Linked DNA regions of Neurospora crassa OR74A. The protein of the gene in region 1 purifies or fractionates together with the protein of each later gene. This does not show direct contact. Links are inferred from orthologs where the notes say so. Each region holds a gene or a part of one and is shown on either strand. Other genes may lie near its edges.

What was found. The genes of interacting proteins can lie anywhere in the genome.
Region 2: the proteins of nrc-1 (region 1) and NCU00472 purify together in Saccharomyces cerevisiae (affinity purification with western blotting, with the first as the bait; 3 studies listed by BioGRID). This does not show direct contact. The link is inferred for Neurospora crassa OR74A from reciprocal best matches to the Saccharomyces cerevisiae genes STE11 and CDC37.

What each region holds. Positions count from the first base shown.
Region 1 is NC_026503.1:1,806,088-1,809,643, forward strand, and holds the end of nrc-1 (MAPKK kinase), read left to right. Parts: coding exon 1-1,926; 3' UTR 1,927-2,646; downstream 2,647-3,556. UniProt on the Saccharomyces cerevisiae protein: Serine/threonine protein kinase required for cell-type-specific transcription and signal transduction in yeast. It is thought that it phosphorylates the STE7 protein kinase which itself, phosphorylates the FUS3 and or KSS1 kinases.
Region 2 is NC_026503.1:3,975,157-3,980,447, reverse strand, and holds NCU00472 (CDC37), read right to left. Parts: upstream 3,393-5,291; 5' UTR 3,045-3,392; coding exon 3,021-3,044; intron 2,952-3,020; coding exon 1,626-2,951; intron 1,556-1,625; coding exon 1,433-1,555; 3' UTR 1,009-1,432; intron 948-1,008; 3' UTR 704-947; downstream 1-703. Other genes in the region: NCU00471 (hypothetical protein), read right to left, coding at 4,688-5,291. UniProt on the Saccharomyces cerevisiae protein: Co-chaperone that binds to numerous kinases and promotes their interaction with the Hsp90 complex, resulting in stabilization and promotion of their activity.

The DNA.
Region 1 (3,556 bases):
AAGGTTGTTAAGATTGCCGACTGCAACACCTGTGAAGAGGTTATGCGTGTTACCCTACGTAAGTTTGGCCTGCGGGAGGACCATGAAAGGAATTACTGTTTCTGGGTACTGGCCGGCGTTGATCCGGACCCAAACCAATGCCGCCGCCTCGGGGATACGGAGCTGTGGAGAGTCATCAAGGACCACACTCGCCCAGAGCGCAACCGCCTGATTCTCAGGCGTGTTCCTTCTGGAGAGCCGGGCAAGGCAGAACTCGAAAGAGCAGCTGCCATTGCGATGGAGGAAGCACAGCAAACACATAGGCCTCCAATTGAGCCCAGCGATAAGCGGAGTCAGCTGAAGCTGCAAAAGGTGCTGGGAGTGGGCTGGGAAGACCTCCAACAACAGCCTCCGCTGTCTCCCATGTCCTATCAGGACCGAGAAAGAAACGTCTCAAACGCTGCTAGGGATCTAGAGCGGCCAGCACCTCTGGAAACCCCCAGGGCCATGCCTCGCCGTACACAAGCACTTCGTCAGTTCGGTGGGCTGAGACCGCCTAGCGAGCTTATCGCCTCGGATCTTACGAGCTACTTTCCAGATCACTCTCGTGAAGCTATTGACAGGACGGCCCGTTTGTCCATGAGACGCTCGGCACGTCTGAGTAGAGTGAACCATCGTCTGAGTGTTGCCAGCACCCTTAGCTTTGCCTCTAGCATACAAGACGCTCCGCCGATCCCTACCATCGCAGACAGCTGGTTGACCGCTTCCAACCAGATTGCCAAGGTACGCCCGCGTGATGTGCTGCCAAGGGCGCCTCACGGGTATAGAGATTCTGTGGCTTCATCCGTGCTTGATACGCTACAAGAAGAAGGCTCCCCAACCGAGCCTAACCGGAGATCATTCGTTCCATTTTCGGACAGCGGCTCGGATACAGCTGCAGTTAGCGTCATTGATCCCGATGGTAACATAGTCAGACACAGTTACTACGACAGCGGCACCAACAACTCGGCCGATTCCGCGGTAATACAGGAAGCACTTGCTGAAGATGGCGAGGATGCAGCTGACAAGGAGCTTCAAACTTTTCTGGCGGGCGACGCTTGGGACGACAGTATGTGGATGAAGGGTTCTCTTATCGGCCAGGGTTCATTTGGCTCCGTGTACCTCGCCCTACATGCCATCACTGGTGAACTGCTCGCCGTGAAGCAGGTCGAGACACCTGCGCCTGGTGCAGACAGTAAGAACGATGCCCGCAAGAAGAGCATGATTGAAGCGCTCAAGCGCGAGATCACCCTCCTTCGTGACCTCCAACATCCCAATATCGTGCAGTACCTGGGCTGCAGCTCATCCGCGGAATATCTCAACATTTTCCTCGAATACGTTCCCGGTGGTTCCGTGCAGACCATGCTCAACCAATACGGTGCCCTCCCTGAATCACTCGTTCGCAGCTTCGTTCGCCAAATCCTCCAGGGCCTCTCCTACCTCCACAACCGTGACATCATTCACCGCGACATCAAGGGCGCCAACATCCTTGTCGACAACAAAGGTACCATCAAAATCTCCGATTTCGGCATCTCCAAGAAACTCGAAGCCACCAACATCCTCAACGGCGCCAACAACAACAAGCACCGTCCCTCACTGCAAGGCTCCGTCTTCTGGATGGCTCCTGAGGTAGTCAAACAAACCAGTTACACCCGCAAAGCCGACATCTGGTCACTCGGCTGCCTGGTGGTCGAGATGATGACGGGTACCCACCCGTTTCCCGATTGCACCCAGTTGCAGGCCATCTTCAAGATTGGCGGCTCCAAGGCCTCGCCGACGATCCCGGATAACGCTAGCGAGGAGGCTAAGCAGTTCCTTGCGCAGACATTCGAGATTGATCATAATAAGCGGCCGAGCGCAGATGAGCTGATGTTGAGCCCGTTCTTGACGCCTGTGCCCGGGACATAGGAGTCTTCCAATAAAGTGTGAGAGTTTTCGTATGTCAGAAATTGACATAAGAGGAGGATTTAATCAGGGCTTGAATTGTAGTGACAAAAAACATGTGTATGTGTTGCTACTCATCTGTGAGGTTTGTCTGTCTGTCACGCTGTCTGTTTTACGCTGGTGTCTGTCAAATGTGGTCTGTCTGAAAACGACTATGACTACTTCCTTTCTTTTCCCCAAGTTCTTGTTTTGATTACCTCTTTTTGTTTTTGATTTGATGTTGCTCACTCAGCAGGCTGGCTGGCTGGCGCCGGGCAGGACAGGGCAGGCAAAAAATGGCACTTTTTCCGAGACAAATACTACCGACGGATGGCATCTTGTTTTGTTGGGACGGGGATAGGGACATTTTTGTGATTTTTCCGGTCATTTTTCATTTCCATGTTAAGTTTTCCTTTTAAACTCCATTCATTTTTTTTTCTCATATACAATACCTACCTACTACCAACATGGCGGCAGGAAGGTGTAAAGAAGACGGGGATAGGAACTGGGAATATTTCAACGATGTGATGGACGAGTCAGAACCGATTAACATGATGATGGGATGGAAGGACGAGGAGGAAACTTATTGGAACTGGGAGGGCTGGGTATGGTGGGGCGAGGAAGGGAGAGCGGTATGCAGTCGTGAAAGGGGAGGAGGAAGAGAGCGATAGTGACTGAAAAGAAAGTGTTTAAAGTTCAAGTACCTGACTTCCTGAGATGACCCTTTCGGTGACTTTCAATCCTCTGGCTTTAAGCAAGAGTATGGTACCTGTCTGTGTATGTTGTGGGCGGTAGTGACTCGGTCTGTCTACTGTACCTCCTACAAGCCTGGCATTCTATAGGCTCATTTGGGAATATTAGAAGAGCACACCTCCTTTGGAGCCGTTACAGACTTTGGTTCGACCCTTCTTTGTGACGACGGAAGTCGATATTTCCTCTGTTAAAACCTTCCTCACACGGCAGTCATTCATTCATAGGCGTGAACTCTCGAGTGGACGCCAAACCATCAATGCGGGTAGGTGGCCCAGAAGATCAACTCACTGCTGCGGAAGCTTTTTTAATAGTCATAGCCGAGCAGCTTCTAGAAAAATGGATGGCTTCGATGAAGTTTCACATGAAAACTGGACTCAACAGCTAGTCCACTGTGCTTTGGCTTCAAGCCGTTTCAAACTGAGGAAGAAGCTCGGTAGGTAGCCATACGAAATGCTTTTTATAGGTCCCGCCGGCTCTTATGCAATTGGTTCACTTCACGGCTTTAGTTGGTAAGGAAAGGAACGAAGTAACGAAGCTTCAAGCTTAGTACTGTAGACGTTCCTTTCTTAAGGTATGCAAGCAAGGAGAAGACAACATCGATGCGAAAGAGCGGAACTTGATTGAAGGCCCTATCCGCCGCGTGTGCTGCTGTAAACTAGGTACCTAGGTAGGTAGGTGACCGTCAAGGTGCTCGTATATAACGGGTATCTCATTCATCCTTTTCTTGAACACTACCTCTACTACTGCATGTAGGTACCTATTTAACTGCCAACTCGTTGAAAGTAGAAGGGTTCAATCATTCTTCGGACCAAGAAGATATGATGTGATGTAAAACATCGACGCTCCATGATAACAACCCTTT
Region 2 (5,291 bases), about 2.2 Mb from region 1:
ATTGGGATCGTGGGAAAGGGTCTCGGCTCTCTGTCCCCGAGCCTGGTATCGAGTGTAATGAGCAAACGACTAGAACTGAACTCCCAAAAATGCCGTGAGTGTTGAAGAGTCTAAGGAAAAGAAATATCGAAAGGAGTAGAAAGAGAATGTCAAGCAGAAGAATGCAAGTTTTCCGCAATCGTTTTCGGCCTCGCCTCATCCACCGACTTTCCTCTCTTTCTGCACTAGAGAAAGACTGCTCTTCGAACGGATCTGCATGGGTACGCATGTGCATTCACCTTTACCCAATGGGTTGGGATCCGCTAATGAGTTGAAGATCACCCCACCCCGTCCACGTCTTTGCGACGACAAGGAGGCTCTGTTTCCCAAAAAAAGAGAGAGGGAAAAAAAGACTTCCTCTCACAAGTCAACTTCAGCGTTATGAAACAACCTTGTGCTGTAACTTGACAAGGAGGCGTGCTGCGCCTCGCTTTGATGTAGTCAGTCAGCCCGCTTATCTGTAAATGATCGAGCAATTACCCCCAATCTTCGCCCTTTTAGACTCGCAGATTCACAGCGTGCGCGGCTCATACAAAGGCCCCGGACTGAGGCCGAAATGAGGTGAGGCTGCGTCTCATGAAGTATGTAGAACGGAGTTCCCAATCTGGAGATATGTGTACGTACCGCCAACTTTGTGTTTGTGACTCAGGGGTAACTATGCAGGAGTGTATCGCAGATTCTGATTGGCTATTGGCGACCCAGAAAAGGGTCTCCCCAGCGACGGCACTGAGGGGTCCCATGGTTTTCCCGATCAGGTACAGACGAGTATAAGCCTCTCAAACACCCTCGAAACACCAGGGACACCACTCCTTGATTCTCTCTCTCAGGTACTCTTCACTAAGGAATTCCGTAGAACCATTAACATCGTATCTAGCCATACCAGAGGTTGTGAACTTGCGAGCACCTTGCTGGGCAGCTGCGTCAGCTCAACAAAGAAAACGTAAGCTTGTGGAGAAAGAGGCTGCTTGCTCTCGCTTGGGGGATTTCAAGATGAACGAATAAAACACCCACGCAAGTCTTGACCATGTTGATGCTCTATTTGATCAAGATTAGTATCTGATTGCGTGGCCATTGTGTTGCTTACGGACAGAACCAAGGCGATCAACTAACAATCCCGTGAACTTGGGAGTGATGCTAAATCTGATATGCCAGCCATAACTCAGTAACAGAAACTCGACTGAAGGATGATACAGCCGACTACCTGCTTATTGGTCGAAAAGGCGATCCGTACAGTGAATTCTGAAAACAGGGCAGAGCTAACACATGACCTTGATATAGCTTGAAGCCTGGTATGCTCCTATGTTCGTTGCTATGTCCGTCGAAATTACAATGCCTATGTCCTAAACATGTTCCAAGCCAGAACGAAAGGTACGAAGACGGCGTCTTACATTAATCATTCCGGGTCACCAGCGGGCTCATCTGCGTGCTTCTTGGCAGCCTCGATCTCCTTCCACTTTTCCTGGCCCTCTTGTGTAGTGGCGTCAATGATTTCCTCCTCGAGACTCAAAACACCAGCCTAAAGACCTCATGTTAGCAATTCTGTTCTTGCAGCAAATCAACACGGAAGAAAACGACTGTCAACTTACATCTCCAAATTTGCTCACCAACTCCTCAGCCTCCTCAACCTTCATCTTGCCCAGAACCTTGTTCACCTCATCCAACTTGCCCGATTCCAGAGCCTTCTTCATCTCGGGACTAAAGCTTTCAAAGATAGCTCTAGCTTGCTGTACCTCCGGGTCTTCACTGTCAGCTGGAGGAATGTTGATGTTGATCACCGTACCAGGCTCTACCGCATGCAGTTGGATCTGTTCCACTCCCTCTTGGCTGCCACCTTCGGCCTCTTCCTTTGCCCTCTGCAGGTTGATCTCTCTGGCCCTGTTCTTGATCTTGTAAAATGTGTCCTGCACATCCTTGAAGAAGACCTCCTGGGCCTGGTGGCCTTGTGTCGTGATGCGCTTGAAGAATAAAGCGACACCGTCGCGTCCCAAAGCCCGGCAGTATTGCAGCAGGAGTGCTTGGTGGACGCAATTGCGAGCATAGTCGTCACGATTTTGAAGCTGTGCGTCGAAAGCGAGGACGAGCAGACCATCGGTTTCTTTTTCGGTAAGGATTTCTGGGTGTTTCGTAAGGAAGGCGAGGGACTCCCGGTAGTCGTCTGCCTTGATCGAAGCAAATTGTTTGGCGGCAGGAGAAGCCTCAATTTCAGCATCATCGTCATCATCGTTCGTAGTCGTGCTGGGTGCAGGTAGGCTATCGGTGGCGCTGTAGTTCGGGTTTAGAAGTTCGACCTTGGACGCCTCCTTCTTGTCTCCTGAGGTAGAGGCCTTCGCCTTGTTGATGTGCGTGCTGTCAAAGCCCGTGTGGATAGACTCGCTCGTAATTTTGCTCTTGTCAATCTTTTCCAGCTCGTCAAGCTTGTTGAGCAACTCGCCCTGTAGGTTTGTGACTTTCTTGAGGTGCTCCTCCACTTCCGCGATAGTAGCTTCGTATCTCTTGTCTTGCTCGACTTTCTTCTCCTCCAAGGTCTTGTTGACATCGTCAAGAAGCGTGGCCATCATCTTGGTGTACGTAGGCAGGGGTTGTTCTGCATTGTGAACACCGGCAGGCCTTGGTGGGGGCTGGTCATCCTTGGGATCTAGACCAGCGGCCGACTCTATGACAGCCTGGAAGGCCACCTCGCCTGGGTTGCGCGAGCTGACTTCCGAAGCATGGGCCTTGAGAGAGGCAAGTAGGGAGGAGATCCGCTTGATCAGAGTATCATTGATGATTCTTTCGTACTTGAGGGTCTCGATCTGGAGCTTGCGTTGCTGGCGTTCCGCATGAATCTGGTTCTGCTTGGCACGAATGAAAGACCGCTTGTCGACGTTGGGATGAACCTCGACATCAGAGTCATCGCTGAGCTCCAGCGCATCCTGAATCGGCATGTCAGTGCATCTCTCCACGAGTTGCACTCATGGTGGCCAAAAAAAAGGGTAACTTACCCACTTGCTGTAGTCGACCGGCATCCTGACTCTTTGCGGCGAGCAGTAATTCTGACTATTGATTCAGATGTTCGAATTGAAGAAGCGCTTCTGAAATACTTTACTGGCGTGTAGATCGCGAAAGTGAAGCAGTGTCAAAGAATTGTGTTAAATATGGGTAATGATTTGGTTCCAAGCAAGTTGCCATGTACGGAGCAGAGAGCGGAAGAGGAGGGGAGGGGGCCAGCTTGTGTTATGGCGGGGTCCATAACTCCTGACGATATTCAACACTACACCAGAGGAGTGGGGTCATGTAGAAAGACGTAGAAGGCTCCGGTCCATCGCGCACTGCATTATGACTGCATGCCGCCACAGTGTTTGAATAGCAGGAACAGCTATCAACGATCGCTAGAAAATGTAGAAGTAAGGAGAGATATATCCATTCTACCCAAGCCTCAGCTGGCACGAGCTGCTTTGTTTTCTTCTTTTTTTTTTCCAATCGCCCACCGTACCTAGGGGTTGATAGACACGGTAAATATGACATCTTTTCAATTCCTAACATGTTCCGCGTTTACTGCACTTTCAGGGCCCGTGCGCTTGTCCGTGCACAACACCCATGTTCTGCAGTACTGAGCCAGTAACGAAATGAAAATGTAAACAGTTTACCGCATTCAGGAACAAGTCAACAGACCGCCAGTCTAACTATCCATGTAATGATCGATGGTCGAGGAAACCCGTGCATTTCTAAAGCTAGCCAGAATCGGGTTATCCTGTTTTACATCCTAAGATATAGAATGTGGTCACCTACCGAGTCATATGAGGGTAACAATGGAAAGATATCTTTTCTATTTCGCTATGGTAAATTTCCACCTTTGATATTCCAACTTGAAACCCTAACCCAGCTTCCGCAATCTCTCCTTGTACATACGACACTTCAAGTTCCTTTCTTCCTTCTGAGCCTCTACACAAGCCACTGTGTCATCCGAGGCTTGATCTGTCAAACAAGCTACCCCTACTAGCATTGTTGAGTTTGATTGCGGGACGGCCACCCTTGAAGCAGGAAAAAAAAAAAGAAACAAAAAGGACGAAAAGGAAACAAAAGAATCTGGACAAAGGCCGTTATATGTGTTGTGGATAGTCGAAAACACCTGAGCAAGGTGTCAAGGTATTGGGATGTAACTTCGAACTCAGAGCATATAGGCAGAGAACGTGCTGGACGTCGAACATGATTTCAGAAATGGACTGTGATGGACATGTTTCGTTTTCCATTCCTATAACCACTCGCTTGAATCCATTCACATGGGGACACGACGTGGATGAGACGGTCATTCATTGCAACACTTGTCTGCTTTTGGTCCGAACATAAAAAAAGAAATGCCAGTTTATTATAGATATAGGCATGCAAAGCGTACCTGTAAGCGCAAACAGTACTGCAAATCATATCACATGATCTTGCTCCGGGAGTTTCGAATGAAGATGTACATCGGATTTCTTCCAGGCATATAATTTCTCTCTCCGTGCTTATTTACGACCGGCAACAAACATCATGTGAACATGTTAGCCACCCCTAATTTTCTCCCTTATCAGGGGCCCTCCCAACTACTTGATTGAGCCGCGGCCTCGTTAGTATCAGTCATTCACAGTTTCCGTGCCTTGAGGGGCTACCAAGACTCTAGGTTATCCTGGAATCAGTACTCTTCTCCGTCGGAATCAATGAACCGGATATCAACATCTCCATCAAAGGCTCGCTTGGCTGCCTTACGAATGCGTATGTACTCTCTCTGTCCAATCGAAGTGCCTTGCTGGAACGCCGCGCCGAATTCAAACCCCTGATGGTCATGGTCGGGGGTTTCTTCCATCTTTTGGAAGAATTTCAGGATCCCCGAGGCCGTGAAGGCCGAGTCACCTGTGACGTATACTTCCTTAAGGCGCGGAAGGTTTGCAAGTGGCATGATGTGCGCATCATGGACCAGACTCCCGCTGAAGCTGATTTTTTCCAACTTCAAAGCCCCTTCGCTGATTATGCTGATATCTGCGACCGAGAGATACTCTTCCGTCTCCAGTTCCTTGAGCTCTGGACAGCGCGATATGCCTGCGGCAAGGCCCTGGCATCTCCCAGTGGCAGGTCCAAGTTCCTGAAACTCTAACTGTGGGACTTCAACGTTCAAGTACTCAAGTTTCGTTTGGTGATGTAGCTCACTATACCAGGGCGCATTTGCCTCAACTGACATCAGGGTGAGAGACTTAAGACGGAGCTTTGGCCCTGTCAATGAATCCTTGAGAAGTTGCGTG